4 linked regions of the Schizosaccharomyces pombe genome follow. The protein of the gene in region 2 binds, or shares a complex with, the protein of the main gene of each other region. Each region holds a gene or a part of one and is shown on either strand. Other genes may lie near its edges. The genes, in order: mrp7, SPOM_SPCC777.17C, mrpl15 and img2.

The links.
Region 1: SPOM_SPCC777.17C (region 2) and mrp7 share a complex: the UniProt entries of both Schizosaccharomyces pombe proteins name them as parts of the mitochondrial large ribosomal subunit.
Region 3: SPOM_SPCC777.17C (region 2) and mrpl15 share a complex: the UniProt entries of both Schizosaccharomyces pombe proteins name them as parts of the mitochondrial large ribosomal subunit.
Region 4: SPOM_SPCC777.17C (region 2) and img2 share a complex: the UniProt entries of both Schizosaccharomyces pombe proteins name them as parts of the mitochondrial large ribosomal subunit.

The regions. Positions count from the first base shown.
Region 1 is NC_003423.3:2,856,440-2,864,263, forward strand, and holds mrp7 (mitochondrial 54S ribosomal protein bL27m), read right to left. Parts: upstream 6,322-7,824; 5' UTR 6,186-6,321; coding exon 5,724-6,185; 3' UTR 5,040-5,723; downstream 1-5,039. Other genes in the region: morphogenesis protein Mor2, read right to left, coding at 1-4,801; Lid2 complex histone demethylase subunit Lid2, read left to right, coding at 7,376-7,824. UniProt on the Schizosaccharomyces pombe protein: Component of the mitochondrial ribosome (mitoribosome), a dedicated translation machinery responsible for the synthesis of mitochondrial genome-encoded proteins, including at least some of the essential transmembrane subunits of the mitochondrial respiratory chain.
Region 2 is NC_003421.2:1,613,107-1,620,854, forward strand, and holds SPOM_SPCC777.17C (mitochondrial ribosomal protein subunit L9), read right to left. Parts: upstream 5,953-7,748; coding exon 5,863-5,952; exon of another isoform or gene 5,814-5,862; coding exon 5,738-5,813; exon of another isoform or gene 5,608-5,737; coding exon 5,468-5,607; 3' UTR 5,040-5,467; downstream 1-5,039. Other genes in the region: arg1 (acetylornithine aminotransferase), read right to left, coding at 218-1,471, 1,720-1,791; NEDD8-conjugating enzyme Ubc12, read right to left, coding at 1,973-2,082, 2,330-2,477, 2,589-2,677, 2,760-2,855, 2,922-3,012; protein Gta3, read left to right, coding at 3,557-3,943; SPOM_SPCC777.12C (ER stress response thioredoxin family membrane disulfide oxidoreductase), read right to left, coding at 4,104-4,541, 4,662-4,940; retromer complex subunit Vps35, read left to right, coding at 6,450-7,748. UniProt on the Schizosaccharomyces pombe protein: Component of the mitochondrial ribosome (mitoribosome), a dedicated translation machinery responsible for the synthesis of mitochondrial genome-encoded proteins, including at least some of the essential transmembrane subunits of the mitochondrial respiratory chain.
Region 3 is NC_003423.3:4,360,535-4,368,483, forward strand, and holds mrpl15 (mitochondrial 54S ribosomal protein mL57), read right to left. Parts: upstream 3,258-7,949; 5' UTR 3,149-3,257; coding exon 2,516-3,148; 3' UTR 2,348-2,515; downstream 1-2,347. Other genes in the region: SIN component scaffold protein Sid4, read left to right, coding at 106-220, 441-2,308; SPOM_SPBC1539.02 (uncharacterized protein), read left to right, coding at 3,482-4,642; arg41 (argininosuccinate lyase), read right to left, coding at 4,851-6,233; tts1 (tetra-spanning protein 1), read left to right, coding at 7,855-7,914. UniProt on the Schizosaccharomyces pombe protein: Component of the mitochondrial ribosome (mitoribosome), a dedicated translation machinery responsible for the synthesis of mitochondrial genome-encoded proteins, including at least some of the essential transmembrane subunits of the mitochondrial respiratory chain.
Region 4 is NC_003424.3:584,912-592,914, forward strand, and holds img2 (mitochondrial 54S ribosomal protein mL49), read left to right. Parts: upstream 1-6,155; coding exon 6,156-6,335; exon of another isoform or gene 6,336-6,506; coding exon 6,507-6,644; 3' UTR 6,645-7,241; downstream 7,242-8,003. Other genes in the region: pdc202 (pyruvate decarboxylase), read left to right, coding at 686-2,401; csr102 (sec14 cytosolic factor family phosphatidylinositol transporter), read left to right, coding at 4,014-5,348; SPOM_SPAC3H8.04 (chromosome segregation protein), read left to right, coding at 7,832-8,003. UniProt on the Schizosaccharomyces pombe protein: Component of the mitochondrial ribosome (mitoribosome), a dedicated translation machinery responsible for the synthesis of mitochondrial genome-encoded proteins, including at least some of the essential transmembrane subunits of the mitochondrial respiratory chain.

The sequences.
Region 1 (7,824 bases), on a different chromosome or scaffold from region 2:
GAAGCAAAGAACGAAACAACTGGAATGAATTACAAGCCAAACGTCGAGAAGGACAAGTCGTAGCCCACGATAAAGCAACCTCACCCCATATTTGTTTAAGCTCAGGATATGATGAACTCAATAACTCAATTGTCTTCAAAATCATGTTATGATATTTAACCAAATCATCCTCCTTCTTGGTTTTACCACGAAGGCCCGTTATTAGTGAGCTTTCTACATTGAAATCAAAATAAGCGTCGTCATAATCTAACCTTCCTTCCATAGCTAGAACTTTTCGTACAACATACTGAAAAATCTGCTGGCATTGCTCTTGGACTATGCGAGAATAATGATCAAATTGTATAAAAGCAGCATGGAGTATTGTAGCCACATCATCAGTAACTGTGATTATAGAAGGATTTGGAAGAATATCCATCAATAATAGTAAAGATAACTGGCACGGGGAGTAGGAAATATGATTTTTTTCACTGGGAAACAAATCCTCTAAATTTGCAACATAAGTTGAAGATAAATCCTCAAGACTAAATTTATAAACCTCTTGGTTTTCATTCGATACATTAGCAGGACAAACAAAAGACAGAAGGGTAGAGTAAAGATCAGAAAGAAGTTCTGTTTTCGCGAGATAAATAGTAATCTGTCTTGTACAGTCAACAAAAGAAAAAGTTTTCCTTTGGTAACACTGTTGCATTAAAAAAAATAAGATTACGGTCCAGTTCGACTTGTGACGCGAAAGAGCTAACGAGGTCCATAAAGCCTCAATTTCGTTAGGTAAATCATTAGTAAACTTTGCAGTGACTTCAATCAAATCAATTAGAATTACCGCCGTAAAAGAATCGAAAGTTTTGTTTTCAACATCCATCTTTAGCTCCAAATTTTGTAGCCACGGAAGTAAAACCGTCACCAGTCCACGTCTATGTTGATGACCATAATTGAAATAACGTAAACATTCTGAAGTTAAAGTGAATGAATCTTCAGTAAAATCGCTAGCAAGCTGTACAGAAAATAAGTATTGAGGTTTCAAGTATAAAGCGGGGTTGCTTGATTCCAAGAATGTTTTAAATTCCATCAATGCAGTCATAGTAAAATTATTTAGATGAAAATTTCCAAGTAACTCAAATGCTTTTAGCCTTACCGAAAGATTATTCGTGGAAAGGTTTACCAAACACAAGGGCAAAAGCTTTGGTTTACTCAAATTGTTTGGATTTATTTGAATAAGCATTTCAGAAAGCGACAAGAAATAGTAATTAGAAATAGTCTGCGAAATCTCTTTAGAAAAGCAACGGTTGATTACCTTCTGCAGCAATACTTCATTGCTGCTATTCTCTAATAATAAGGCGGTCAGGCCTTTTCTAGCCAGCCCCACTATAGCCTTGGAGGGAGAACCAAAGACAGCAGTAAACCAATTAAGCAGTATCTCTATGTCGAACAAAAACACTCCTTCAGTTAATTCCTGTTGTAGCTTTGCTGTACATAACGCGATCATTGCCTTAATAGCCAAATACTCGAGGTTTTGCTTTCCAGCTTCAAATGAAGCTAACAACTTATCACGCTCACGAATATCTTTATTGTTACCGCGTATATGAGCTCTCATTAGCTCTTCGCGATTTTTTGTAATTGCACGAGCAGGACCAAATCCAGTCCATTCATCCAATAATTTCCAACACGAAGCACGTCCCGAAAAAGGAAGAACCTCAGACGACGGATGCAAATTCTGAACCAGTAATACTTTCTCAAGTAATTGAGAAAAGTAGCACCTTAATTTCAAATACTTCTCATCTGCTTGGACATTAGGAGTACTCAAAAATCCCTTTAAATCTTTCAAAAATTCAGATATAACAGACAACGCTTCACGGTCTTCATTTAATAACTCATGCAATAAGAGATGTGATGTCATTGCAAAAATGTGAGCTATTTCAGATCGCAATAACAAATCAGGTTTATTACGGCGCTTCACAGAAGGGAAGTTTAAGCCTGCAAAAATAAACTCTTGATGATCCTGTTTGAGCACAGATATATACGGCTTCAAAGAACGTACTAATTGTGGAAAGGCGTTTACGTTTATACAGCCAATAGCAAAAACAACAGCTTCACGTATAGGAGAAAATTCAGTAAAAATGAGAGGCAATACCATACTAAAAAGACTTTCTGCGCTAGTTATCTTTATGGTTTCCTGTAAACCACGTAAATGGTTTCCAGATTGAACAGCAGTAAGTGTCCTCCTAAGGTCAGTGTGCGAATAATCCACGTTAGAAGTGTATGTAATTGTACAACATGCAACAATAAGGTACAGCTTCCACTGAACTAATAAAAACTCAGGAAAATTATCATTTTTTACAGCAGACTTCAAGTTAAAGTTTAATTCCGAAGATTCAATACGCGATAATAATTGCATAGTAATACTCGGAAGTTTCTCACAAACAGTATTTCTAAGCAATGCCATAGTGGTAGGAAATCTTTCAAAACAAACCTTTATAAAGCGAGGAAATACATTGTACCATATTGAAATGTCAACGCCGCTGTTTGACGTAGCTAGTTTCAAAAGCATATCCTTGGTTCCATCGTTGATAAACTTGCGCAATCGTGACCTTTCAGCAGCAGTCGGTAAGTGACTTTCGACACTCAAAATTGAAGAATCGCAATCTTTCAGAACATCGACAATTGTCGGTTCAGAATATATGTCACCAACTTCAACTTTATCTGAAGAAAGCATCAAATACTCCGTATTTAATTGCTTAACATCATTAAGCAAAGCCACTGCAAACTTACGGATTCCAACTGATGGTGAAGATAAATGAAGTACACCAAGTGATTGAATTTCTTCAATTATCGTCCAACTTTGAATGTCATCATAATCTTGTTTTACAGAGGCAGGAGTATTGCTTTCAGAACTTGCACACGATTTATTACTAAGGACAGAATTCCTTTTTTCAATAACTGCTTCTTGCTGACTGATCCAAATTCTAATAACTTCATGGTAAGTTCGTAACAAGTACTCTGAACCCTTAACCAATTTCCGAGAAAGACAAGATATCACTGACTTCGACATTTTAAGCCCAGAAGAAAAGTATATCAAAGAGTTATGACAAACAGTATGGATTATTTTGTTTGAACAATTCAAACACTTAACATATGCATCAATTACACGTTGTTCTAATTTTCCCATGAGACAAGGAAACACTTTGAGTGCATTAATGTACAAAGCAAGCAAACTGGTTGCATTTTTTGAATCAAGGTAACAGTTGGTATTAGTGGAGAGCTGAAAAACGAGGAATAGAAGCTTTTGCGAAAGATTATGAACAAATTGTTGTAATGGAGTTCCGACGGCAACTTCATGTAAATCAACGAACTCAAATTCAATATATTCGAATATAGTACTATCCGATTTTTTGTACTTCATGTCGTGCAGAATGTAATAAACAGACCGAACAACAATCATTAATTTCTCAGGGCCAATATTCTCGGTAAAAGCATCAGTAGACAAAGGTGTTAAAATCTCTTTGATGACAAGCTCTGGAAAATGAGCACCGACTACACGCACAATTTGTGCATAACCATCCAATTCTTCTAAAGTGGCGAATGGAACCACGCTAAACTTTTTGCCAATCGAAAATCCCGATTTCAAAATATTAGAAATATTAGAATTCATTATGGAAGGTTCTTCCTTATACTGATTAGAGTAAGTCCATACAACACGAGAAAGATGGGGTAGACCGGTGTTCCTTAATCGTCTGTCTTTAACACGAAAAAAAGCAGCATCAAGGGAGGATATCCAATGCTTAAGGAAGAACTGTTTGGGAGAAAGACATAGAAGTGTACAACAAAAAGGGAAAAAAACATTCCAGTATTTAGTTTTCGTACACATTTTCAGTACTACAGGATATATTGTTTCAATGGTGCGCGACCACGCAGGAATATTCACCTCAAATGTAGCTCGACTGATTAATGGTCGAAGCAACTGTTCCATAAGATATGCATATTCGATTTTCAAGGCTGTGTTGGCTTTCATGAAAAAGGAAGTCAATGATTGCAAAAAAGCAATTGACTCTTCTAAAAGAGTTGTTGGATAAAGCTGCAAACGCAAATAACGCATTGCTCTAAGGAGATGGACAAGAACCGTTTCTTTTTGCCTGGAATCACAGCCAGACTTTTCCAAATGCTCAATCTCTTCAATAAAACGATCTGATACCATGACGAAGTTAAATCGAGACATACTTCCCACAAGGAATGCAAAACTTTCCCAATTAGCAAGACTGAAATAGGATGACGAAACTGGTAAATTTTTAGCGCTTAGTAGCTGATGAAAAACGCATTCTAATAAACAAGATACAGTGCTTTCTTCTAAGGCATTTGACGGTATCGTTTCAGCAATCTCAGTCAAGACACGGCAAAGTATATAGATAGAAATAGAACTCCTCCGCTCATTAACAACCCGAGGAGTACCACTTGAACTTGTAATATCAACACGAACTTTTCTCCAACACAATAGGGATTCAATGACGGCAACCGGTTTGCTACTAGCTAAAGCTACAAGAGCTTGAATACATCTGTCAAATTCATTATCTTCCCCCTTTTTAAGAAGGAGGATAGCTTCTTGCTCTCCAACGTTGAATCGTACAGGTTCAGCATTCTTACCTTCGTTGGCATGATAACGAGAAAGAAATGATATTTTTTGTTCAGAGAGTCGAACAAACTGGGTGAAAAGTATGTGAAGCGCGTAATCAACTGCCGTATGGTCCTGCTTCTCAGAATACAAAGGACCATTTTCGACAGGTTGATCGTGAGCAATTTCATTCAAGCTCATTCAGGTTGGCATTATATGGTTATCTACTAAATAGACGAACTTCAAAGAAAAGGAGTATGCAAAGTAAGGGTTTGAGAGCAATACCGCTAGCCTACAGAAAAGTGAAGAAAAAAGTGTATAAAAAAGCTATCTCGTTAGTTTTTATATTTAAGCATGCGTAAGCAAATTGACTAGCAATCGATTGTTAAAATTTAGGCGTGAATGGATTCAAAACTAGAAGTTTGTAATGGCTAGCACTCCGAACAATAAAACCTCTCAGCACACTGCAACAATTTTTGCACATAAAGGAATATAACGCACTGCGTTGTAGTAGGTGTGGTACTATATAGTAGGTGATATACTTAAAAGTCTAACTTCAAAATGCCCAAAATAATTTTTAAATGAAATGTAAAAAAAGAATAACCTTCTGTATGTTTGGTCAAAACTTTCTGAATTCTATGTCAGAAAAGATAATATGGTACAAGTTCAGTTTTTTTTAATGATTTTTAAACCGTGGCAAATGCGATTTTTACACGCTAACTTTTTGGAAACGAATTATAAATATTTGTTGAAAAAACTTGAAAGTTTAAGAACAACATATACAATGCTTAATTATCAAATTATTCGCGTGGAAAAAAATAGAAGCATAAATCAGTAGAAAAAGAAAGACATATACGCAAACTTGTATACGCCCAAGACAAAGTAACAAAATAAGTTATAAATTTAATCATGCATTCACATTTTTGAGCATTAGACAGTAATAAACTACGATGACCGTGACGGGAGTTTAAATAAATAATAAAAAGAAGAAAATGTTATTTCGTGCAACCTTAAGTTGAAGGAAATCCAAAGGCATTGATGCATGTAATTATTAGTATATCCTTTTGAAGTATCTCTAAATAGTGAGCATTGCAGGTATGATGATGAGAGTTTCCGCATGGTTTCATGAAACTTGAGCAGAATTAGCAGAAGTTATATACTTATTGACACGGCGAATTGTAGGTTCATCTTTGGGCCTTGGTAACGTTGTCTCTTTGTCAAAAACAACACCGACGTATTTCCTCCGTTTGCGAAGAGACACATCCATTTGAAAAAACTTAACATATCCGGAAACAAGAGAATATATTGTGTGATCTTTACCTAGACCGGTATTATCTCCGGGATGAAATTTTGTACCACGTTGTCGAATTAGGATCTCACCAGCCCTAACGAATTGGTTTTCAGACCTTTTTATGCCGAGACGACGACCAGCAGAATCACCTGTGTTTTTCGATGAACCACCGCCATGTTTAGTAGAAGTACGAATAGGAGGGAAAGTGAGAATATTTGATGCTTTCTTATAAGCTAAACTAGCTTTAAGTAATTGAAAATTGTTAACACGAATAAAAAGCCCTTGATTGATCATTGCACGGTGAACTTTGCATCAAATGAAGTACGTATTGTAAAAGAAAAATGTGTTAAACTGATTTGGCAAATAATTAGTAATGTAGAAGGATACTAAATATTAAAAAAATTATATCTTCGTCGAAATATTGGTTTATACTAAAAGGATGGATTCGTTGTAACCAATCTTCGAAAGTTTCTACCTTACATTTCCTTTATCCCAATTTACGAGTCGTGGTAATCGTATAAAATATTCTTATTTTACAATAGTGTAGCCTTACATTTTCTGTTTGAAATTCCTTACTCCTAATATCTCGCTAAAAGAGTACCATTACCTACAATTTACTTTGTTTATATTGGAAGCATGATCGCTAATGAAAAAAAAAGTAAAAGACACTAAATTTACGTCGACAATTTCTATCCTTCTTTTTAATCATGGAAAATTCACTTGGCTCTTCAATTCAAACAGCATTAATGACTGCATGAAAGAAATATAACTTTTTCAAAGTTTTAGCCTTTATTGTATTGTCTTTATTACTCAATGATATTCAATTTTACTTGAACTTTTAAAGTATGCAGCTGGAATCACATATAATAGATTTTTCTGTGCTACTAATTGATGTCTTAATGCAATTTCAACTGTTTTGTTCCTCAAAGCAAAAATTTATGAATAAAAACGGATGTGCTTCGTGTTACTAGTTGGTGGCAGGAACCAGCAAATTTCATTTTCTTGTGAAGAAACCATAAATTCTACCTTGACAGCGATATGCTTCAAGTTATACAGTATATGTGCTGCCTTAGTTCGCAGGATAATGTATCAGGATATTGTCAAGCTTTAACTGGATTTGATTATACTCGGAAACTTCCTTAGGTTAAAAACTTTTAAAATTGGCATAAAATCTTTTTCTCGTGGATCTTCCAGCCATAGCACGACAGGGAGTACTAATTAAAGTACGTTTTGCTTAGCTGTACCTACGTTAATGTCGATCTGAAGCTTTAAGCTACTACTTCCACCTAATACTGTCGTGTCGATCCCATAACGGTGTGTTATCGACGATAAATACATCAATGTACGCGTTTTTTATTTTATGTAATTTATTAGAATATTTTTTAAAAGTTGTAAAATTTTTTGGTATATATTTTTAAAACAGGGTGGTGTTGCATTTCTAAATATTTCTCCATGTATATTGATTATGCACTTTTCCGTTTTCCATGATATGCCAGCTTTTGTGGCACGAACATAATTCTATGGGATCAGGAAGAGAGAAGAAAATAAGAAAGCTAGGAGATAACTTTTCATTACCATATCTGAAATTTGATTGTGACCATAATGACAAAAATTATCGCGCGTCAAATAGGCCATTTGGACTTTCAACTGGACTGTCAGTGCAGTTGAATGCTTCGAACATGACTGATCCCTTTAAATTTTTGTTAGATAATTGGCATACAATTTTCAAAAATGGAGCAATTAAGCTTCTGCCACCTGAGGGATGGCAAATACCTGTTGTTCTTGATCAAGGCGCTTTTGAGTTTCAGTCAAAACGCCAATGTTTAAATAAAGGTTGTCTCAATTATGAAAAAAATTATGATTATTTTAAGAAACTTAAAGCATTTCATGAAAGTCGCGGTTTATATTTTTATCACCCACCGATTATCGGGAA
Region 2 (7,748 bases):
TGATTATGAAAAGAAAGGGAATAACGAAAACCAGTATTTACAATGTAAAGCTTCCAGCTAAGCTTTTCGTAACCCCCCTATCAAAAAATTTTTTGGTTGGCAAATGAGAGCAAGGTTAATATATGTTTTCGAGGAACAAGATTTCTCGTAATAATCACTTTTTATCGCACTATATAACCAATCCATTCAATGACCAAGTCTACGAAAACATACACTTTTACTTACTTAAAGCCTTCAAAGTGCTCTCCATGATATCCAAACCCTTAGCAATAACCTCATCTTTAACATTCAAACTAGGAAGGACACGGGTGTTGTTGTTTCCACCTGGTAAGAGTAAAAGACCTTGTTGACGAGCAAGCTCAATAAATTTAGCAGGGGGCTCGGTAAATTGCAAACCAAGAAGAAGACCACGACCAGCATATCCACGAATAAGATTAGGGTATTTGGCAACAAAGTCATCAAAACGTGAAGTAAGAGCCTTGTGTTGCTTTCTAACGTTTTGTAGAATCTTGGATGACCCTAATTCATTAACACAGAATGTGCCTACACGGCAAGCAACAGGATTACCTCCGAAAGTACTGCCATGTTCACCAGGGTGAATTTCAGCAGCGATCTTACTGGAGACAATGGTGGCGCCGATAGGTAGACCATTAGCCAAAGGTTTGGCAACTGTGATAATATCGGGACTAGCGACATCCTTAACGATACTATGGGCCCAAAGATCACCGCTGCGACCAAGTCCGCATTGAATTTCATCATAGATTAAAGAAGCACCAACCTTATCACAGGCCTTGCGCAAAGCAATCAAAAATTCAGGCTTGGCAGGACAAATACCACCTTCACCTTGAACGGGCTCGACAATAACAGCCGCAGTTTTGTCATTGACAAATTGCTCTATGGATGCAGGGTCATTATAGACGGCTTGGACGACATCAGGAAGTAATGGTTGGAAACCACGTTTATATTTGGGGTTCGCAGTGATACTAAGAGATCCCAAAGAACGGCCGTGGAAAGAGTTATTAAAGTAAACAATTTGACTCTTCCCTTCTCCATACTTCTCAAACGCTGCCTTACGAGCGAACTTCAAGGCTGTCTCATTGGCCTCAGTACCACAATTGGCAAAGAAAATTTTTGTGGGGCCAGCAATACCGCTATTTTTTGCCAAAGAATTATTAATGACATTAGATAGCTCAATGGCAGGCTCGTTGTAGAAAAGGTTGCTACTATGGACTAATTTGGAGCATTGATCAGCGGCAAGTCTAGCAACTTCAGGATGAGCATGACCCAAAGATGTAACAGCTACGCCAGAGGTGAAGTCAATGTATTTACGACCTTCCTTGTCAAACAAATAGGAGCCCTCACCTTTAGCAGCTACGACTGGATAGCGTGCATAAACTGATATAATATTCGCCCCTTCCTTCTTGATAATATTGCAACTGGTTGTATCAGGAGTTGGATCTTTGTGGGTAAGCTAAACTTGGTTAATAAGCAGTTTAAGAAATATTAAAATTAGTACTGTATGAGGCAGTATGAAAGCACAAATGAAGATTTATTTTGTTGGGTCAGTAAGAAGCATTCTCAACATCAATACTTGTCTAAAAACAAGAGCAAAGTACAGAATTCTCGAAAACAATCAGAATTAGATGATAGTCTAATTATTTGCCATCGTATGTTCAGTTGCACTTACAATGCATACTCTATCAACAAACTTGTACTTACGCTGACAAATCGACGAAAGGCGATTTGGGAACCAGACGAACGAACAGAGAGAAGTGATCGTCTTTGAAACATTGTAAAGCAGTTACGGGCTTATTAGGGGGGTTTGGTTCTGGTTATGTGTTTTTATACTGATATCGGAAGTTCATCGTAATCGTGACTGATTTAGCGAGATTTAAAACACATCAATATTTTCATGACAGTCGTCTAATCTATGTCGGTTATCTTTATCGAATTGATTTAGATTGATGAAAAATTAAGCCATGACATTGTCAAAAGAAATTCCATTCACAAGACCACCTTTCATGGCTGTACGCACACGAGATGCAAATCCTTGAGGGTCTTTATGCAAATCAGCCGCCGCCTCTAAAAGATATCGTTTGTTAGTATAGTTAAATAAATCTAGAAAATTTGTTAAGGAGCAAACCAGATTTCTTATATTAAAATTGCTTATCATAATCATTGTCCTCAGTAAAGAACCTTATAAATCCCATAATAAAGGATCGTAGAAAAAATGAGTATCAAATGATAGTTAAGAGATGAATAATCATTTCCTTGTAATGCAATAACAAGAAATAGTTCATTGCCCCCCAAAAAATTGTAATTAACCTACCTTTGTTGAGTGGATCTTCTGCGTTTGGTGACAAGAATAAAAATTGCAATCCAACCAAAATAGAATTCAAATTCAACACTGGATTCCAATCCTGACGCAGAATATTGAGGCATACGTTTCCCTCAATATCGATATTTGGGTGATAGATCTAACAGTAGGTCAGAACGAAAGGGTTCAAAACATGTTATAATGGTTATTTTCTTAAATGCAAAAAATATACCATAAGCTGCAACTCTAATTTAGAGCATGACTGACATACTTTGTTTAGACATTTAACCTTAGGAGGATCATGAGGATAATTATCGTCGATTTGGATTCGAAATTTAAATTTCCCACCCTTGTAATACCCTTTTCATGTTAATCAAAATAAAAAATAATAGTCTCAAAAAGTCTACACCAAATATTCTTTCATGCGGAATCACAAACTTACCTTCGTCAGGCCGGATTTCTAAATGTAGCACGTTCAATTTTATAGGATCTGGCCAGCTTGTAGACATCGTAGATGGGATTTCTAAATCTGTAACGTCTAAATTCATCGAAAATGGTTAGTTTCGAGTAAATCGCGAAAAGTTATCAACATGATGAGTCGCACCTTTTTGGATTCGGATTTGTGCTGGACTAATCCCTGACGCATTTTTCTCTTTTTGAGCTTCTTTCTTTTTTAATTCCCAAATTTTTCTCATGATTTACGCGATTCTTGTAATAGGCAGAAGGATGGAAAATGCGCTTACAATTTTGGGTATAAACAATACTCTCATACATCATTAAAAAATAGCGAAACATGTAGACACCTAAAGTGCTAATAATGTGGCATTTTATATTACCTTATTCAATTGCAATAACCAATTTTAATAAAGTCGTTACTCTACGCAAGCATTCAACAATATTACGTACTGGAACACTGCTATGTAAAGTTATATACAGACATCGCAGGATGTCGTAAATTTAGGGAATGGGAAACGGTTATCATAGTAATGAAAAATAGTTCTCCTAATTAGAGAAGCTGATTATATTGACTTTACTTACCGAATGATTTAATATATTCCTTTACTATTAATTCTAAAAAAACCCAGACTTACAACCTAGTCGTTAAATTGTAGGAACCGACTACAACTTCGACAGCTGTTTCAAAGCATTTGAAAAACTTACAAAGTGTTTAAGATTGAATCTTTTTTTTAACCTGTACTATATTTTTCTCTTGTAATTAGCTCTATTTTCCTTTTCACTATGCCATTTTTGAAACCTTCAAAGGTTTCACTTAAACGAATTCTCCAAGGAAATCCACCCAAACCAATTGGCTTAACTGAGTATGGTCATTTGCTGAGGCTCGTTGGTCTTCGTGAAGCAGACTCTAAGGAAGAGAATGAAAGAACAATTCTAAAACTCAACGAAGGAATCATTCAAATGCATGCAATTGAGAGACTTGATACATCCTTCATTAAGGAACCATTTCGTACTTTGAATCATGCTATTAATGCGGAATCTCTACCATCATTACCCGATCAAGAGCCGTGGAATGTATTTCAGAATGCTAAGAAAAGAGACGGGCAGTACTTTGCCGTTTATTCTAAGCTAAAAGATGATTCCTCTAATGAATCTCCAAACAAGCAATAAGGTTGGAAAATCTACGTTCTGTTAAAAAAGGAAGGAATGAAACAAATAGGGTATAAACCTTTACTAGAGCGGTGCCTTACATATAGAACATGTAACAAACTCTCGTATAATTATTCAAAAAATTGATATTATCAAAAACTAATAGTATTTTCCACATAGCTTATTTCTTTTTTGCAGCGGCGGCGGCAGCAGCAGCGGCTTGTTTTTGTTTCGCTTTTTTGCTAGAGCGATACATTATGTAGGCAGAGATCCCAAAAATAGCTACATTCATTCCAAGAGGGGTGTATTTTTGACTTAAGTGTCCGTAAAGTGCAAGTGCCTTTCCAAAGACCCAGTAAAAGGACTTCAAGGGCCCGTTAACAGAGAAAAAACCTTGCTCTTTTTTCATACTTTTGAACCCGTCTTTTTCATATAAGGCGATTGCCTTGTTCTTGGGAAGAACCTGAGGAGAAACACGGTAGAAATTTTGATTATCGATGAAATAATAAGAAGGAATCCGAGAAATGAGTAAGCGTACAGAAAGTTCGAGGCTACTGCTCAAGTAAACACGGGCAAAGTGGACATCCGGATATTTTTCATGAAAAGCATGCGAAAGGTCCTAAAATTAGTTAGTACAGATTCAATTAAATCCAAAGATGGTTTAATTTATTTCCGAGGCTCAAAATTCAATCTCATAACAAGAGCATTTGGACAACATTAAATGCAGTCCATTACTTACGTTAAAAAGTAGCTCTCCAAGAGTACAGTTAGCACAGCCTTCAGCAGTCAACTGCACAAACCATTTGCCAGATTCAATGACATGATCCCAGGTTTTATCTGAAAGTTCGACAACGGTGGAATTGTCAAAAGCGCAAACTGGGTCTGTGTTGTATTTTTCATACGGTACCTGTAAGACATTCATAGCTTCAATGGCAGCTGATTCATCTCCTTCACAACTATAAGCTGCCACGAAATGCAGAAGTTCAAATAGAAACACAAAAAACAAATTAATTTTCATTGAAGCTGAATAAGGTAATGAAAAATATTTTCTCTGCTGCTTTAGCAATAATAAACACGAGTTATGAGATGATTTTGGATCCAACTCAAAATAGTTGGTAGCTGTGAGAAGAAGATGCTAGACGAGCTGATAGAGCAGAAACGATGGCCGCACAATACGCAGTAAACGTTTACCATTCAAGGATTTAAATTTCATATTAACTATACTATTATAGGAAAATCCAAAGCTTGTTATTGTAATTGAGAAACACTAAGCATCAACCCTGATAAAATATTACAATAACGATAATATTCAAACTCAGAAAGAGACTACGCTTCTAGTGAAGCCTTTTAATTAAATTTTTTATATTTTTTTATAGAAAAAAGTCAATGCTGAATACTTCGTAATTCTTGTTAGTAATGTAACAATATCTCGTAATGAAAAGCTAGAATTGTTCAAATTGCAGCTAGCTAAGCCTTAATTAATCCACTAATAAACTCAATAAATTCTTTTTATGTTGATTGAACTAAGTGAGAGTTTAGGTATTATTATTCCTTCGTTTTCGTCGAGAATTCGGACCCTTGTAACAAATGTGCTTTCATAGATTTTAAGGCATCAACAGCAATCGCTTGCTTCTTGGGGAAAAGTGTATTTCGATAATATCCCCTTGTCACTGAGACGACATCACCTTTTGTAAAGTTAGTAGTTTCCTACGACGGCTAAAAGAATGCATTTCTTATAATAAAAGGATGTAACCACTACCTCCCTATTATAGGTTTGAAATGAAGAACATTATAATTATGAAAAATTTAGCATACCTTGCCTTCCTAGCTTTGAAACTTCGTTGTTTAACAGTTTTACCAAAAACGGTTTTGGCTGTTTACGAAGAAACCTCTAAATAACTGTGTAAGTAACGGTGATTTTTTTTATAAGCTTGACATACCAGTTGCCCATAAATTCTTTGAAAAGGTGAGACTGCTAGTTCAAGGGAATTGAAGCGAAAAAATCGAGTTGTCGGTTTCATAATACTCATTTCAATTAAATGGGTGCACCAAGAAATCCGTCAAGAAAGTTTTTACAAAATAAAAAGAAAAGCAGCTTAAATAAATTCTCAATTGAATGTAGAATTCAAAAACCGTTAGTTTAGAGGTCTAAGACGAATCTTGTAGTGTGAACCTTTCCGATGATTAGATTTATAGTTTCTTTTAATTGTTATCAAAATAATATACTATTTAGGCGCGATATTTGTGATATGAAAATGGTCAATTTGAAATTGAGCGAAGCGCGATTCCAAGCTGTGCTGCGCGCAATACTTCAAGATCTACCAATATATCTCAACCAGTACCACCAACTTTATTTGTAGACATTTCAACGAACCCATTATAAAAAACATTGCTAATATTAGTGAATTAAAAAGAATAACAAACATCCTGTTTTTCTGTTCGAAAGTTGGGCCGCTAGTAAAACTATACTGAAATTACAATTACGTTGGTTAAATTGAAACACTTGGAAGTGGATATTTAGGGCTCTATGAACGGAATTAATACTGCTAACGAAGAAATTACAAGGAGCTTGGAAGAGTCCTTAAATATTTGCAAGCAGTCTAGTAGGCTGATGCAAAGAAACTTGCAGACAGGACGATTGATGGATGCATTTCGTAATTGCAGTATTAGTCTCGTGGAAATGAGAAATTCTGCACTTACTCCAAAACAATACTATGAGCTGTATATGTTTAATATGGAAAGCTTGCGTTTACTTGGGGGCACATTGCTGGAAACGCATCTGAACGGTACTCACAACCTAATGGACCTTTATGAACTTGTTCAATATGCCGGTAGTATTGTCCCTCGTTTATATCTCATGATAACCGTTGGAAGCGCTTATTTGGAAACGCCTAATGCCCTTGTACGTGAAATTATGAATGATTTGTTAGATATGTGTAGAGGTGTTCAGCATCCGTTAAGAGGTCTTTTTTTGCGCCATTATCTGCTTACCCAAACAAGAAAAGGATTACCTTTGGGATCAGAAGATGAGGAAGATGCATCTCGCAAAGGAACCGTACTCGATTCTGTTAAATTTTTAGTTATCAACTTTACGGAAATGAATAAATTGTGGGTTAGAATCCAACATCTTGGTCCAATTAAAGAATTTTCCAAACGTACCCAAGAAAGGAATGAGCTAAAGGTTCTTGTTGGGCTGAATTTGGTTCGATTATCTCAGTTAAACCTCGATATAGACACTTACCGAGATCATGTCCTTCCTGCCATAATCGAGCAAATTATTGAATGTCGGGACTCACTTGCACAAGAGTATCTTGTTGAAGTAATTTGTCAGGCGTTTTCTGATAATATGCATCTTCAAACCCTCGATACATATTTCGGTACGGTCATAAAGCTTTCTCCAAGCGTAAACGTAACCCAACTTGTGGTCGCTATGTTGAATCGCCTTACGGACTATGTCCAACGTGAATATGAATCTGATTCTTCTAATGAAGATGAATCTGAGACTGTAACCGAAAAATTAGGAGACATAAAAATTAATGAGGAAGTACAGCAAAAAGACGAGCAAGAATGCCCTGGAGATAAAGTAATTCCTCCAGAATATGCTATTCAAGAGGTTTTATGGTCACATGTTGTTGAAGTTATTCAATCTCGTAGTGGTCTTCCACTAGATTGTATTGTTTCTATACTTTCTAGCATCCTCAATTTTTTCTTGCGGTGTTACCCTTATAAACCCCAGTATGCAGATCGTGTTTTTCAATACATTAACGAACATATCATTAACCAGCCCTCCTTACGAAGCGCTCTTCATGAACGTCCATTACAAAAA
Region 3 (7,949 bases), on a different chromosome or scaffold from region 2:
ATCTGGTGTTTATTTACATTTCGAGCATGTGACTTACACTCTTGGGTAACAATATTAGTTTTAAGTCAGCTACTCACAAACTAAACCTTTTAATCATGTTTTAGAATGGATGAGGCTTTTGGTGATAGTTTGAGTACAGATTACCGATGGTTAGGTCATTCTCATTTTGATAGTCATCCATCTGCGGGTGACAGTATATACTTTGACTCCCTTGACGAAGGTAGGTAAAGTTTAATGTCAACTTGTATTGTGAACTTTTGAAAACACTGGGTAATTACACTCATGCCGTCTTCTTCCATCTGTAGATGAACTAAATGTTTTCTATTTTAAGAGGGAAATTGGTTTATGACATACATTTTGGCTTGAAGGGTATTCACCTGTAACGTCCATATACTTTTTCGAAAAGTCTGTCAACTGAAAATGTAACTAATATTATGTAGATGCAGATCCGTCTCGTACCGCTAGAATTGATCGAATAGCTGAATTGTTGGATGGACTTAACGATGAACAAATAAGTGAGCTTGTTAATGGCGTAAATAGTACTACGATTAAAGAAAACACCAAAAAAGAAATTTCGAACCCCAATGACTCTACAAGACTTCCTTTAGAGCAAATACCAGGTTCAAACAACTTATTTCTGGATCCGCGTCATCAACTTGGTGATAATAGTCAAAATGCTCAAAGACATCATGAGCCTTCGTTTAACTCGGAGAAAGCATCTTATACTAGTACACCTTACAAGAATGTCGCCCCGAAAGTGATTGATTCACCTAGTGCTCGTCATATGCACTCCAATTCACCTTCATTTCCACCTTCTCAATCACACACCAGCTCTTATGACCAAAGTCCAAAAGGACAGCTACGAGATAATATTAGTGTTCCTAATCAACAAGATGGATTGGACCCTGAAGTGTTTAATCAGCAATCTAAAGAGACTAAAAAAAGTTTACAGGTTCCACCAAGCCGTAACGTACCACCCCCAGTCACTCGCCCTAATCAATATAATCCTGAGCCTAATTTTTCTTTGAGTTCAGGTTATCCACAACAACATTTCTCACAGCCGGAGCTTCAAAATCGGAATGTTCATTTGGAAACTGTACCAGAGTCATATCCAGTACCGCCTTCTGGCTATCCTCTTACTTCATCTACATGTGTTTCTTCTATTAGTCAACCTATCCAATCTACGGATTGTCAAAAGGCTCAGGAAAATCTTTCTAATAATAAACAGATGTCGTCGAATGATCAAGACATCGATCCTTTTAAACAAGCCATTACCGATTTACCTCCTTCTTTTGTTAATATTGTTTTGGAGATGAATGCCACAATACAATCCTTATCAAATCAATGCCAACAAAGAGATAAACAGATTGAAAATATAACCAAGCAATTGCTTATGAATCAGCAGGATTATTGTCCCACAACAATGTCAACAACTGTTTCTACTCCACTTTGTCCTCCAAAACGATTCCCTAAAAGCACAAAAGACTTTAAAGAGCAAAAACCTGATACGAAGCAGGTACGATCTGCTACTATTAGCAATGATTTTAACCTTAAAGGCAACGGAAGGTATAATGAAAAATCTCAAATTGCGGTTCCAAGTGAAATACGAGTTCAGCTATCAACACTTGATGCTATTCTTTTGCAATTTGAGCACTTGCGTAAGGAACTTACCCAAGCCCGTAAAGAGATACAAATTCTTCGGCATACTTCTCAAAATGGAGATCAAGAATCAAATGAAAGCTCAAAAAATGCAATAACCACAAAGACTACTGACAAAGGAAATAATAAGGAGAATACTATGCTGAATGACGGGTCTACAGCCCCTGCAAAAAATGATATAAGAAATGTTATTAATACCAATAATCTTGATGCAAAATTGTCAGATGAAAGTGAGTTAATGATCGAAAAGAACAAAAGCTACTCAACACCTGCTTCATCTACCATCCCTACTTTCCATACCTCACAGCCTCTTACTTCCTTAAATATGCCTGATTCTAGATTTAATCTGGCTAAGGAAAAACAACTTTATTATCGGCTAGGCCTTCAGCATATAGATCAACAGTGTAGTGTTGAAACAGCCAACATGTTGAAAACAGTTTTGGTCCAATTAAATATCCCTTTTGCAATTTTTCCTTCTACCATCGGACAAGTCAGACGCCAGCTGCAACAAGGTCGTAGACTCTACCAATGGGCACGAAATATCCATTATCTAATATACGAGGAGAATATGCGTGACGGTTTGGTTTCAAAACAGTGTTTAGCAGATATGCTGAAAAAGATAAGGGAGCTTAAAAAACGTAGTTTGTGAATGGATGCCAATGACTTACAACTCGATCAATAAGATTTTGGGATGCAGCTTATATTATACAAATGTTGATAAATATGAAATATATTATTAACTACTGACTGAATGAAAGAGGCGTTAAATAAATCGATAGTAATAATAAGCGTATGGCAAAATGTACTATATTATGGCATCCTTTGCATAAAGAATTTTATCCTGCTGCTACACATCTTATTGATTATGCACGGTATTAGGTCTCACGAAATCTTTTGTCAAATCTGATATGATGCTTTTCTTACAAAAATTCATAGCCTCAACTCCGCCTTTTTGGAAGTAAACGACAGCAACAAGTCCGGAAACAATACTACTGTATATCTTTTCAAAACTAGACGAAGATGGAGAATTAGGCCCTTTTAATGGCAAAATACATTGTGTGGCAGTTTCAGGATTCCATTTTTTTGCAACTTCAGCGAGTCGAGCAGGGGAACGAAGATTTACTAAATCCTTGTATGAAGGTATTGTGCTAAAGTTTCCTGATTCCAAATAATGATTAAGTAAGCAAACATCGATAACTGCATTTCCAACCGAAACGAAAGGTTCATTATATCTTTTCAGCCCATGTTTATAAGATTTATGAGTTACAATTTGTTCTCTTAGAGATTTGTCTGAGATGTAATTTTTTTCACCAAAAACACGACTGAAAAAGCTGTCAATGTCTTCTTCTGTAGATGTCATTTCATATCTGTACTTATTTTCATTACACGCAATTTTCCCAATTCGACGGACACAATTCCATGATGATGATCTGAACACAAATTTATTTTCAATTTGAAGTCCTAAACGATTACAATGTCTTGTTAACATACGGATGGCATAAAATCTTAGAAAGAGCTTCAAGTTCCTCAAACCCTTGTATGGAAAATCAACTTTTCGAAAGAAAAGATATCTGTTTTCTGCAACTAGAATATAGGTTGTTTTTAAAAAACATTGGCCGATTACGAAGTAGTAAAATAGCGCACTACGCTTGAGATCACAGTGTACGAACGTCAAGGTATGCTAATGTTATCAAACTGTTTCAATAATTTACAATTTATTTTGTGTTTTACTGTTAAGTGTATATAAACAACTACTACAAAGTTATTCCAAAGAAACAATTAATTGAAAGGATACTGAAGTTTTGGTTGAAAATTTGTCACAATGAACCAAGATGATTTCAGAAAGCTTTTAGCTACTCCAAAAGCCGAAACCTCCCAGTTAAAAAATTTCTCATCGAATAAAAGTCAGCGACTTGTTTTTGGTCGTAAACATAAGACGGCCAAATTGGAAGCACCCAGAGCCCTAATTAAAAGAAAACAACTAAGTCATTCTACATCGTCAGACATTACGAGACATTCTAATGCAAAAAATTCAGGGAAAGATACTCAATTTTATGAAGAGCCTTCTTCCAAACAGGATATTGAGTTGCACAAATTGCACGAGAAACTTCGCAATGGCCAAATTACGACAAAAGAATATTCAGAAAAATCTAAAGAATTAGGCGGAGATTTGAATACAACTCATCTCGTGCGTGGTCTTGATCGAAAATTGCTTGAAAAAGTTCGCTCTAATGAGCTAGCCTTGGATGATTCTCTGCTTTCTTCGAGTGAGAAAGAAGTTGACGAAGAAGCAGACAAGCTTTTAGAGAAAGTTGCTGAGGAGTCATCACATCCTGAATCTGTTTCTATTCTAGAAGAAAAAAAGAAGATACCTCTTTATCCTAATGGACAACCGAAATATCGTAAAATTTTGGAAAATGGAAAAAAAGTTAAATATTTGCTTGATGAAAATGGTGAAATCCTAAAACGGCTTGTGAAGAAGGAAAAAAAGTTAAAAAATGATAATGAACGTTTAGAAAATGAACATAGAACCGAGAAATTAAACGTGAACGCTAATAGCTTAGGGAAAAGCTTTGTTAAGCATGATATACCACTTCCACCAGTTGATTTGAAGCTCGATATTTTCGAGGAGGTTGGAGAATATGATCCTTTTCATGAAAATGATAAAGAGCCTGCTGAGTTGAAGGCGAAGGATGCTTTTCAGCTTAAAGGTCATCATGAATTGGATGCGCCTTATCATAAGAAAGTCTTTGATACAAATCAATATAGCGATCTTAAACCTACGAATTTTATGTCTCAAATTCATCGACTTGCCAAAGTTCAGGAACGCAAAGAAGAAGAAGAGCGAAAGAAAGGAAAAGACGGACAAATTGTTGATGCAGGTTTCGGGCTTGTATTATCAAAAGACGATACAGCAGATATTCACGAGTTAGGGGAATCTGACGATGATGATAATGTTAAAAGGAGAAAGACGAAAGGTTAAAAGTACTACTTCATTCAGTATGAATATTTACGATTTAAGATTTAAGTTACGTGTTTTTAAAATATTATTATGAGGCTACAATTATTTATTTGCCCGTTTTACACCAAAAAACCTCGATTCGGGGAATTATGTTGAGGAAGCCCTGTTAAATGATCAAACGAACATATAGAAAAAGTAAGTATATCCATATCATTTCATGTAAACTTATCTACTCCAAGGCCTTTTTAATGGTTTGGATTTGTTCTAATACACAACTCTTAGCGGTACCACCAATCGCACAACGCTTCTCCACACTGGATTCATAGTTGAAAACATCTGCAACATCTTCTTCATATAATGGGTGTAGCGATTTAAAATCTTCAACACTTAGCTTATCAATGGTAGTGTTTCTTTCCTCGGCCATTCGGACAGCGGACCCGGAAATATGATGAGTTTCACGAAAGGGAACACCTTTACGCACAAGGTATTCTGCCAAATCAGTCGCTAGCATGTCCGCAGTCAAGCTCTTAGCAATATTTTCTGGATTTACAGTTAAAGTAGAAAGAACTCCGGTTAGAATTTGAATGGAATCCAAAACAGTTTTGGAAGAATCGAAAAGCGGTTCTTTATCTTCTTGGAGGTCTTTGTTATATGTTGAAGGAATCCCTTTAACCGAAACCATAAAGCCCATCATGTTGCCAAAAACTCGGCCAGACTTTCCACGAAGAAGTTCTAAAGAATCGGGATTTTTTTTTTGAGGCATAATACTACTTCCAGTTGAATAAGCATCGGAAAGGGTAACGAAGTTGAACTCAGAAGTAGAATATATAATAAGATCCTCTGCCAAACGGGAAATATGGGTCATTACCATACTAGCCCAGAACATAAATTCAATAACATAATCGCGGTCAGCTACAGCATTCATTGAATTCATAATAACCCCTTCAAAACCAAGTTCCTTTTGTAAGAACTTACGATCTACGGCGAAAGGATTACCAGCAAGTGCACCAGCGCCTAAAGGGAGTCGGTTGACTCTAGAATAAATTTGTTTCAAGCGATCCAAGTCATTTAATATAGAAAAGGCATGAGACAATAAGAAATGGGACCAGCGAATAGGCTGGGCTCTTTGCAAATGAGTGTAACCGGGCATAATGATATCAAGGTCAGACTCTGCACGAGCAACAAAAACTTGGAGTAACCCAACTAAAGATTTTTGGATGATGTCCAACTCATCACGTAGCCAAAGGCGCATATCGGTCGTAACTTGATCGTTGCGACTTCTTCCTGTATGAAGCTTACCAGCAATGCCTGTACCAATTATTTCTCCCAATCTGCGCTCGTTAGCAGTATGGATATCTTCGTCAGAAGGTTGAAGAGTGAATTTATTTGTCTTCCATTCATCTCGGACAGCCTCTAAACCATCTAACATTTTATCCAATTCATCAGCACTAATGATTCCGCGTTGTTCTAATGCCTTAGCATAAGCTTTCGAGCCATCAATGTCGGCATTGAACATGCGCTTGTCATAATGAATAGACTCATTATAAGCTGTCATCAAGGGATCAGTGGCGCCAGTAAATCTACCGCCCCAAAGTTTTTGTGAAGAAGCCATTCAGAATTGTTAAAACAGAGTCAGTTTTTCAAGTTTTCAACCAACGCAAAAAGGAGGTAGTACTACTTAAAATTTAATTTATCTAATCTTTTGAGAGTATGGCTATATGACCGTGTAACCTCTTCCTTATCGCAACCTATTGTTATATCACATTAACGATACGGCGATAGATATGAAATTGATATTATAATCGCTATAATAAGATCTAACGTATTGGAACGTATAAACACTTAATAAATGTTTACATTCCGCTTCGTTATTTCTTTCCTTAAGTTTACAAAAGATATCATATATGGAAGCTTTGGTTGGAATCTTACTGTATAAATGTACTCAACCTGAATGATTTGTTTTGTCTTTCTGATTTATTAACTCAGAGCTACCAAAGAATTTCGCGAGCATTAGCTTAGATTTAAGAAAATTGACTGTTATAAAGATTGAGAATTCTTAAAAGATTTTCTTGTTAGTTGTGATTGTTTTTTCGATTTTTATTAGAACGATATTTATAGATGCCTGAAAACTCATTGGTAGATAAGTATTGTTTTCTCGTTTTTACTAGTGTCTGATCAGACTAAACTGGTTTAAACATTATGATGCATCTTCCGCCCAATTTCTTTTAAGATAGCTAACGAAAATCAATTAAAATAAACATGGACCAACCGAGTTTATGAATCCACCAAATATAGTGGGATTATAAAGAAGAAGAAAATCAACGAAGAATAAAGTGATAACAGTACATGATTTTCCTTTTCCCTCTTTACTTTCGTCTCTTACTGCCTTAAATTATACACTGCATTTCAAATTGTCAACTATATTATTGATTTCTTTTGGCATGAACACATATAGGGCGTATTACTTCGACAGTCTAACATTTACTTATACCAAGCTTCTCAAAATTCGTTTATAGTACTCGTCTTCGCCAACAAATAACTTAACAATTTACGTATGGATATGTTGTTAACAGAACGTCTGGACTCAAAACGGAATCCACAAAGTGTTATCTTCGAGAATACTCTAGAGCCAGTTTAGATCTTGCTAGTTATTTTTAAATAGAAGTTATTGAAGGTTGCCGAGCAATACAAGTGTGATATAGTAATGTTGAATCTGAACCATTTATTGTCCACTAGTAAATGTGCAAGAATTAATCCATTTATTGTTTCCATGTAAAACATAGAACAGATAGCGTAACAAACAACATCGTACTTTAGCATTTCACTTTGAAAAATTTTAGTCAGAGCTTCTTGTACATTGTTATCAAGGGTCGTAAATGAATTATGTTAGCTTTCTGGAGTGTCTGCTAGACTTAAACAATTGGATTTTAGAAAACTAAAGAGTGTAGCCCCTATTTAAATCTATTTAATTGTAATAGCTTGAATGCTACTCAAAGGCGTAAATCCTTTTTTAAGCGCTTATATTCCTGCTAAAAGAATTCTAGTCAAAACGTGTACTAGCGTATTTCACAGAAGTTCCATAGGTTTTCTTTTTCTGATGTAGGAAAATTTAGGATCTTCCATTGGTAAGCGTACATTGTACTCTATCACAACTATTACAACATACTTTTTGCTGGATATTAACTTAACAAAAGCCACATCTTTAAAACTTTGAAAATAACAACTTTGCTATAATGGAGCCAAAACAACGAGTTGTCAAGCCTTTAAAAGAAAGGGTTTTACCTGTTGTCAAGGTAAATATATCTATCATGTGTAAATCAGATAATAA
Region 4 (8,003 bases), on a different chromosome or scaffold from region 2:
GAGTGGTCACATGGTCTCGTAACCATGAGGTACGCCTTACTTTTACGGACGAAACAATATTTCACATTCAGCTCTCAATGTTAAGTATCCAAACAAACATGGTACAAACCAATAAAGCATGTAAATTAATAAGCTTGAAATAAGGAATAGTCATTAAATTCAGTTTAGACATAATGTAAAAGGTATCAATTTTGTCTTTGGTATAGATACAATTAAGAATTTCGAGACGGAACGTTCGGTGATGTAGAGTTTTCATAATAATTTCTGCAGTTGCTTACACTAACCGAAGAATCGTCCAGTATAAACTGCTGACGATGCCTTAAATCAATAATTGCAAATTGCATAGTTGACGTTTTCCCGGGTGGCACATAGTGAGATTTGAGTCGAATAATGAAATAGCCTCTGACGAGTGGTTTCGTACCAAGAGTTTCAAAAAGAATAATCCACATTAACTCAATGTATCATTGATGACGGAATGTTGCTTATATAGCCAGAGTAACCCTGCTCTGAAGCATCTAAGGTTATATCTTTTTAACTTTTAGCTAGCAAACTCACTTGTTCCTTTAAGTTCAGAAAGTATCTGCTGGTTATTCAACAGATAATTATCTTGCGAAAAAGGAATACACACTCAGCATTGTAATTTGTTGAGTATATTTCACAAGCACATTAAATTGCATTATCAAACATGAGTGGGGATATTTTAGTCGGTGAATATCTATTCAAAAGGCTTGAACAATTAGGGGTCAAGTCCATTCTTGGTGTTCCAGGAGATTTCAATTTAGCTCTACTTGACTTAATTGAGAAAGTTGGAGATGAGAAATTTCGTTGGGTTGGCAATACCAATGAGTTGAATGGTGCTTATGCCGCTGATGGTTATGCTCGTGTTAATGGTCTTTCAGCCATTGTTACAACGTTCGGCGTGGGAGAGCTTTCCGCTATTAATGGAGTGGCAGGTTCTTATGCGGAGCATGTCCCAGTAGTTCATATTGTTGGAATGCCTTCCACAAAGGTGCAAGATACTGGAGCTTTGCTTCATCATACTTTAGGAGATGGAGACTTTCGCACTTTCATGGATATGTTTAAGAAAGTTTCTGCCTACAGTATAATGATCGATAACGGAAACGATGCAGCTGAAAAGATCGATGAAGCCTTGTCGATTTGTTATAAAAAGGCTAGGCCTGTTTACATTGGTATTCCTTCTGATGCTGGCTACTTCAAAGCATCTTCATCAAATCTTGGGAAAAGACTAAAGCTCGAGGAGGATACTAACGATCCAGCAGTTGAGCAAGAAGTCATCAATCATATCTCGGAAATGGTTGTCAATGCAAAGAAACCAGTGATTTTAATTGACGCTTGTGCTGTAAGACATCGTGTCGTTCCAGAAGTACATGAGCTGATTAAATTGACCCATTTCCCTACATATGTAACTCCCATGGGTAAATCTGCAATTGACGAAACTTCGCAATTTTTTGACGGCGTTTATGTTGGTTCAATTTCAGATCCTGAAGTTAAAGACAGAATTGAATCCACTGATCTGTTGCTATCCATCGGTGCTCTCAAATCAGACTTTAACACGGGTTCCTTCTCTTACCACCTCAGCCAAAAGAATGCCGTTGAGTTTCATTCAGACCACATGCGCATTCGATATGCTCTTTATCCAAATGTAGCCATGAAGTATATTCTTCGCAAACTGTTGAAAGTACTTGATGCTTCTATGTGTCATTCCAAGGCTGCTCCTACCATTGGCTACAACATCAAGCCTAAGCATGCGGAAGGATATTCTTCCAACGAGATTACTCATTGCTGGTTTTGGCCTAAATTTAGTGAATTTTTGAAGCCCCGAGATGTTTTGATCACCGAGACTGGAACTGCAAACTTTGGTGTCCTTGATTGCAGGTTTCCAAAGGATGTAACAGCCATTTCCCAGGTATTATGGGGATCTATTGGATACTCCGTTGGTGCAATGTTTGGTGCTGTTTTGGCCGTCCACGATTCTAAAGAGCCCGATCGTCGTACCATTCTTGTAGTAGGTGATGGATCCTTACAACTGACGATTACAGAGATTTCAACCTGCATTCGCCATAACCTCAAACCAATTATTTTCATAATTAACAACGACGGTTACACCATTGAGCGTTTAATTCATGGTTTGCATGCTAGCTATAACGAAATTAACACTAAATGGGGCTACCAACAGATTCCCAAGTTTTTCGGAGCTGCTGAAAACCACTTCCGCACTTACTGTGTTAAAACTCCTACTGACGTTGAAAAGTTGTTTAGCGACAAGGAGTTTGCAAATGCAGATGTCATTCAAGTAGTTGAGCTTGTAATGCCTATGTTGGATGCACCTCGTGTCCTAGTTGAGCAAGCCAAGTTGACGTCTAAGATCAATAAGCAATGAGCAAGCTATTGAGAGTGGAATTGGCAAACAAAGTTTCCTTTGATTTATATGTTTTTTATGATAAGCCCATTCAATTCATATAGTCTTTTAGTATAATGATTAGTTATTAAATTTATGTTTAAAGCAACTTTTTAGTTTAAAATTTTTCAAGTCAAGTTAGGGTGTACGTAAACAAACAATACCTTGGAAGCAATGAATGAAAAGGTAGAGTTAATCCAAACAATGTGGAAACCAGTTTCCTTGCATCTACTTACTAGTTTCGCAGAAAAATTGCTAAACTGCTTAAAAGCCAACTTTAACATTCTTATTTCTTACATAGGAGCTACCGTTCCATTCACATTGTGATATGCTAAGAATTTATTAGTTTTACAAAAATTGGGTGATTCTACTATTTAATACAGTGGTTTTGTAACGTAATGAAATTATAACGCTCGTTTATTACGATTTCCTAGGTAATGTAGCGGGTAAAGGCAATTGACTGATATTATGTATCACTCTATCACAGCAACGGACGAACGGTTTGCGTTGTTGTTTATAAATGGTTCTGCAACGCAGCTTCTGACTTTGACACTCTACACCACACCATACTTCAGCGCTCTATTCTTTCGCATAGGAAGGTAAGCTGCATTTCGTGGCGTTTGGTACCTTGAAAAAATATATTTTGGTTAATATTCGTTGGCTTTTTCTTTTAATTCTTGCTACTAATTCCAAGAATTGTGTAAGTATAGGAAGAGGCTGTGTTGATCGGTTAGTTTCGTAATTTCGGCATACTAGTGATTCCTAAAATACCGACTACTAATAATTATAAAGCTTAGATCACTTCTTTGGCTAAAGTAATTAAACCAGGAAGTCTTAAAATTCCGCTTTTTAGCATCCTAAAAATTTCCCCGTCATTTCTCAAAAGTGTTAAACGCGTGAATGTTCTCAAAGCTCTGTTTTCTTTTCTTTGCTTTTTGAACGGCTTTGTCTTTGCATTAATTTTTGTGACGCGTTTTGTGCCTCCAATAGGTAATTAATCTAAATCCGTTTAAAAAGTTGTAGGTGACTTTTTATTTTATTACGTTTTGCTTTCATAAAAAAATCCATTTCCTTCTGTGCGTTGCATATTCATTAATATATCACTTTGATATACATTAAGGTGAATTAGAAATTATTGAGCTCCTCTCCCTTTGTTATTATTTCACGCTTTTTCTCAGGCCCACTTATAGTCCTCTGAGGAATTTTTTATCTTTTTTTTTAAAATACCAACTCAGTTTTTGTCGAGTGATTCTTCTTTTTTATTCATTCATTCGGTTAACTAAGTTCCCTATATTATTTTGTTTTCTACTACAAGCATTACGTTTTGTTTTTCAGTGAGCTTGTTTCGCATCTCTGACCAAAAGGAAGCAAATTGACGGCTAGTGTATTTTTGACTCGTCACATTCTTTTGTCTATCTTTGCCAATTTTTCAAATTATTATATATCTTCGAGATTAACCTCCATTCTTTAGGCTTATTCTCGTAATTTCCTTCTCAATTGAGTTCAATTTTATTAATATTGATTTCATCTGATATATTTTTTCCTTGGACTTTTTCTAGATTATATTTGTTTGCGCGCAATTTACTTATTAAATATGCCTGAAGGAGCCGGTAGACCGTGGAATCTCACAGAACTTGAAGAAGAGAAGTTGAAGACTATGTGGAGTTATTTGTTTAAGCTCTTCGGCATTACTTTACTCGAAAGAACTGAATCTTGGTACACAGTGAAGACACACTTATCTGATGATTCAAGTAGTTCCTCATCACATCGTTTAAGCAGCGTCTCATATGCGAAATCCCGTACACGACTTGAACTAACGTCTTCATCTCATGGCTCGGACACTCGCAGTTTTAATGATAAAACCAAAAATGTGCATTTGGAAAGAGTTGAAAAAATTGCAAGTGAATGGGACCCGGAAGGGCTTAGAGTTTGCTTTTGGGATGCTGTTAATTGTGATGATCCTGATGGCCTTCTACTTCGTTTCCTTCGTGCTCGAAAATGGAACGTTGAGGCTGCGTTGGAAATGTTCATGAAAACCGTTCACTGGAGAAGTAGAGAGATGAATGTTGGTGAAATTGTATGTAACGCTGACCACCTTGATAAAGATGATGATTTTGTGCGTCAACTAAGAATCGGAAAGTGTTTTATATTCGGTGAAGATAAACACAATCGTCCAGTTTGTTATATTCGCGCACGTCTTCATAAAGTTGGTGATGTCTCACCCGAATCGGTTGAGCGACTCACAGTTTGGGTCATGGAAACTGCTCGTTTAATTCTCAAACCTCCTATTGAAACTGCTACTGTTGTTTTTGATATGACTGATTTCAGTATGTCCAATATGGACTATGGGCCATTGAAATTCATGATCAAGTGTTTTGAAGCACACTATCCCGAATGTCTGGGTGAATGTATTGTACACAAAGCGCCTTGGCTTTTCCAAGGCGTTTGGTCCATCATCAAATCTTGGCTTGATCCAGTGGTTGTCTCAAAGGTTAAATTCACTCGTAATTATCGTGATTTGCAACAATATATAAATCCTGACAATATTTTAAAAGAATTCGGTGGGCCTAATCCATGGAGATATACATATCCAGAACCCTGTCAAAACGAAGCAGAAGCTCTGAAGAATGTTGAAGCTCGTAAGAGTCTTAGAGCAAAAAAGGATGCAATTGCTAAACAGTACGAGGAAGTTACAATGGATTGGATTTTGAACAATGGTGACATGGCAGAAGTGAAACAAAAACGTCGTAAGTTAGCTTCACAACTTATTGATGCATACTGGAACTTGGATAAATACATCCGCGCACGCTCAGTTTACGACCGCATGGGCCTAATTGCTCCTCAAACTTCCCATACTTTGCTTCTTTCTCAACCTACAAATGGAGATGTCAAAGAATCAATGGTAGAAGTTACTAGCTCGGCAACTTAGTCGGTCGTAACTTTCAATATTCCTGCTATTTTACATTGTAATCCTTCCCCTTGCCTATACTCCCGTATACTGACTAATTGTACTTTCCCGTGTTATTCTAAATAAGATGCTGGCTCAAAATATGATTGTATCATCTATTAATGCATAACTTTCAAGATCTTTTATATCAATTAGTTACATATGAAATCTCTTTCCTACGTTGATTTTTACACCCCTTTTCGTTTTACCATTTCCTTATCGCTTTAATTTTTTAGCACTCTCTTTAATGCACTTAAAATCATCTAGAAAGGGATAACTTTTTTTAGGTCTTATGGCTTTTCATTGAAGTTGTTGGTCGCAATACTTATCCATCCATTTTGTCTTTATTAGAATCAATGATCAGTTTTATTTGCAAATTAACTTAGATTTCTTGCTATTTATTATTATTTTTTATTTTATTGTAGGAAAGCGGTTCGAAATTAAAAAAAACAACAAGCTGAACACCTAAATGCCTACTCCAAAATATAGTATTAATTTAATGAGTATGCACCTTCGCTGAAGTATATTCCGTGCCGTAAAAATACTTTCGAGTTTAAACACGCGTGAGGTTCAAGCACCGATTAAATTTATTTAAAACAAGAGCGTTTTATTTTATTTTAATTGTTCTTAGTGAATCACTTAATCTTAGGCTCCTGTTTGACAGTTGTTTAAAACTTACAAATTTTTGGAGGTTATGATAGAAATCCTCTTTATTCGCGAATGCACGACGACTTCTTTTACACATCCACCATAAATTCCTGCAACTCGTAGAAAGTTTTGTTGAACCAAATGCGATCATCCTTAAAGCCAGTGCTATCAAATTTGAGGTTCAACTCAACAATTGCATCCGAATCACTTCGGTTTCATGTTTCACGTACACCTTCAAAAAATCTCCCAGTCTATCTAGACTACAAACAACGAGGAACGAAAATTCTGACTTTAATTCGTAAAATCCATGGTGATTCTAATGTAAGTATACATATTCCGTCAGCAGTAATCTCTTGGCTAAAGAAAGTACAAGTAAAGTCACTATGCTGCGGAAATTGTTCTATCAACTTTTTGCTTTAACGGCCAACCCAAGTTTATTTTAACTTCTTTTATTCGTTCTCTTTTTTTTTTCTAACAATATTTTATCAATAGGCTTTGCGGCTCAGGCTCATTTCCACACTTAAAATGTCACCGAAAGATGTTTATGTAAACAAGTTAACAAATCAAGTTGTCCTAAAGGGAAATCACATAGTCACAGTTCGTGAATGGTTACAAGACCAAGGTTTTTAAGTTCCTAGAATTTTTCCTTTTTTAGATTGTTACTATGTATGTACGTATCCTTCTTTCAAAGGAATGATAAAGTTGCTTTTTATCAACATAAAACTCTCGAGCATATATATCAATTTGGCTTTTTAGCATATTACTTTTACTTCATCTCCTTGTTACAGCGGTGATAATGTCAAATAAAACACAGCTGTTGCAAATAATTAATCTCGATTCATTTCTTCTCATCATACGTGGTTTTCAAACTTGACAATGGAAAAAATGCATCTTTTGTGATGGTTTTCCTTAACTACCTTTAAATAAATAGTTATTCGAGCTTCAGTAGAAACATTCAAGAGGTACTTGCGTAAAAAGAAATTCAAACATCTGCTTAATGTGAGGCGTCCAAATGCTAAATACAATCTTTTTTTTGCTACCTATTCGTTTGTTTTGTTGAATTTATAAACGCTTAAAGGAAATTATAATATATATATCGAAACTCCGGTGTTTTTATTTTTTGACTGTAGTTATAGACAGAATACGTTTAAGGCTATTAGGGTATATAACTAAATTAAAAATTCTTTTCTCAATATTGTATAGTTTGTAAATTGACAAATATTAAATGCTATATCGAAAACATACCTTCAAACATAATCTATATATCTGCGTCATACGCCCATGGACTGTTCTTTACCTTTCCCTTCACACATACTTATAATCCTGAAATCTCAACGACTTTTTCATTATTTTTGAATTGAACTTGGATTTGTCTGTGATAGGAATATTTTGACAAACATTTTTAGCTTTTAAAATTTTTGCTTTGTTCTGAAGACGTTGATTTACAATTTGCTTATGAATTAATTATTCACGAGAAGAAAATTCCTTGTAGTTTATCCCTTTTTTATTGGTGATTATAAGCTGAATAACTCTTAATGTTGGGAATTATATTTTCTTTAGTGAACTGAGGCTTTCTCGAAAAATACTTACGGTTATCCATGATTTAATGATTTTCTGTTTTTTTTGTTATTTTTTTTTCGTTTATCAAAAAGTGGTTAAGCATTGACACGATATAAGGCACTTTATTTCCGTGTTGAATTTTTTGTTTTGTTTTTTCTTGACATTAATACCTTACTTTCCTTGAATGCGAACAAACCGCATTCATTTGTATTCGATTATCGAAAGCCTTTTATTCCTTTTCTTTTTCTTTTTTATTAATGCCAGCTTGTTATTGTGCGACATCAACGTCTCTTGAAAATAATGAATTGCTATACAAAAATATTCGAAACTTGTTCTCTACTAGCAGGAGTTTTCCAATCGAACAAGAATGGATGAATTTGAAATCGATAAGTCAGATGAAAGACTTTTTTTCAAACTTTCCTGGTAATA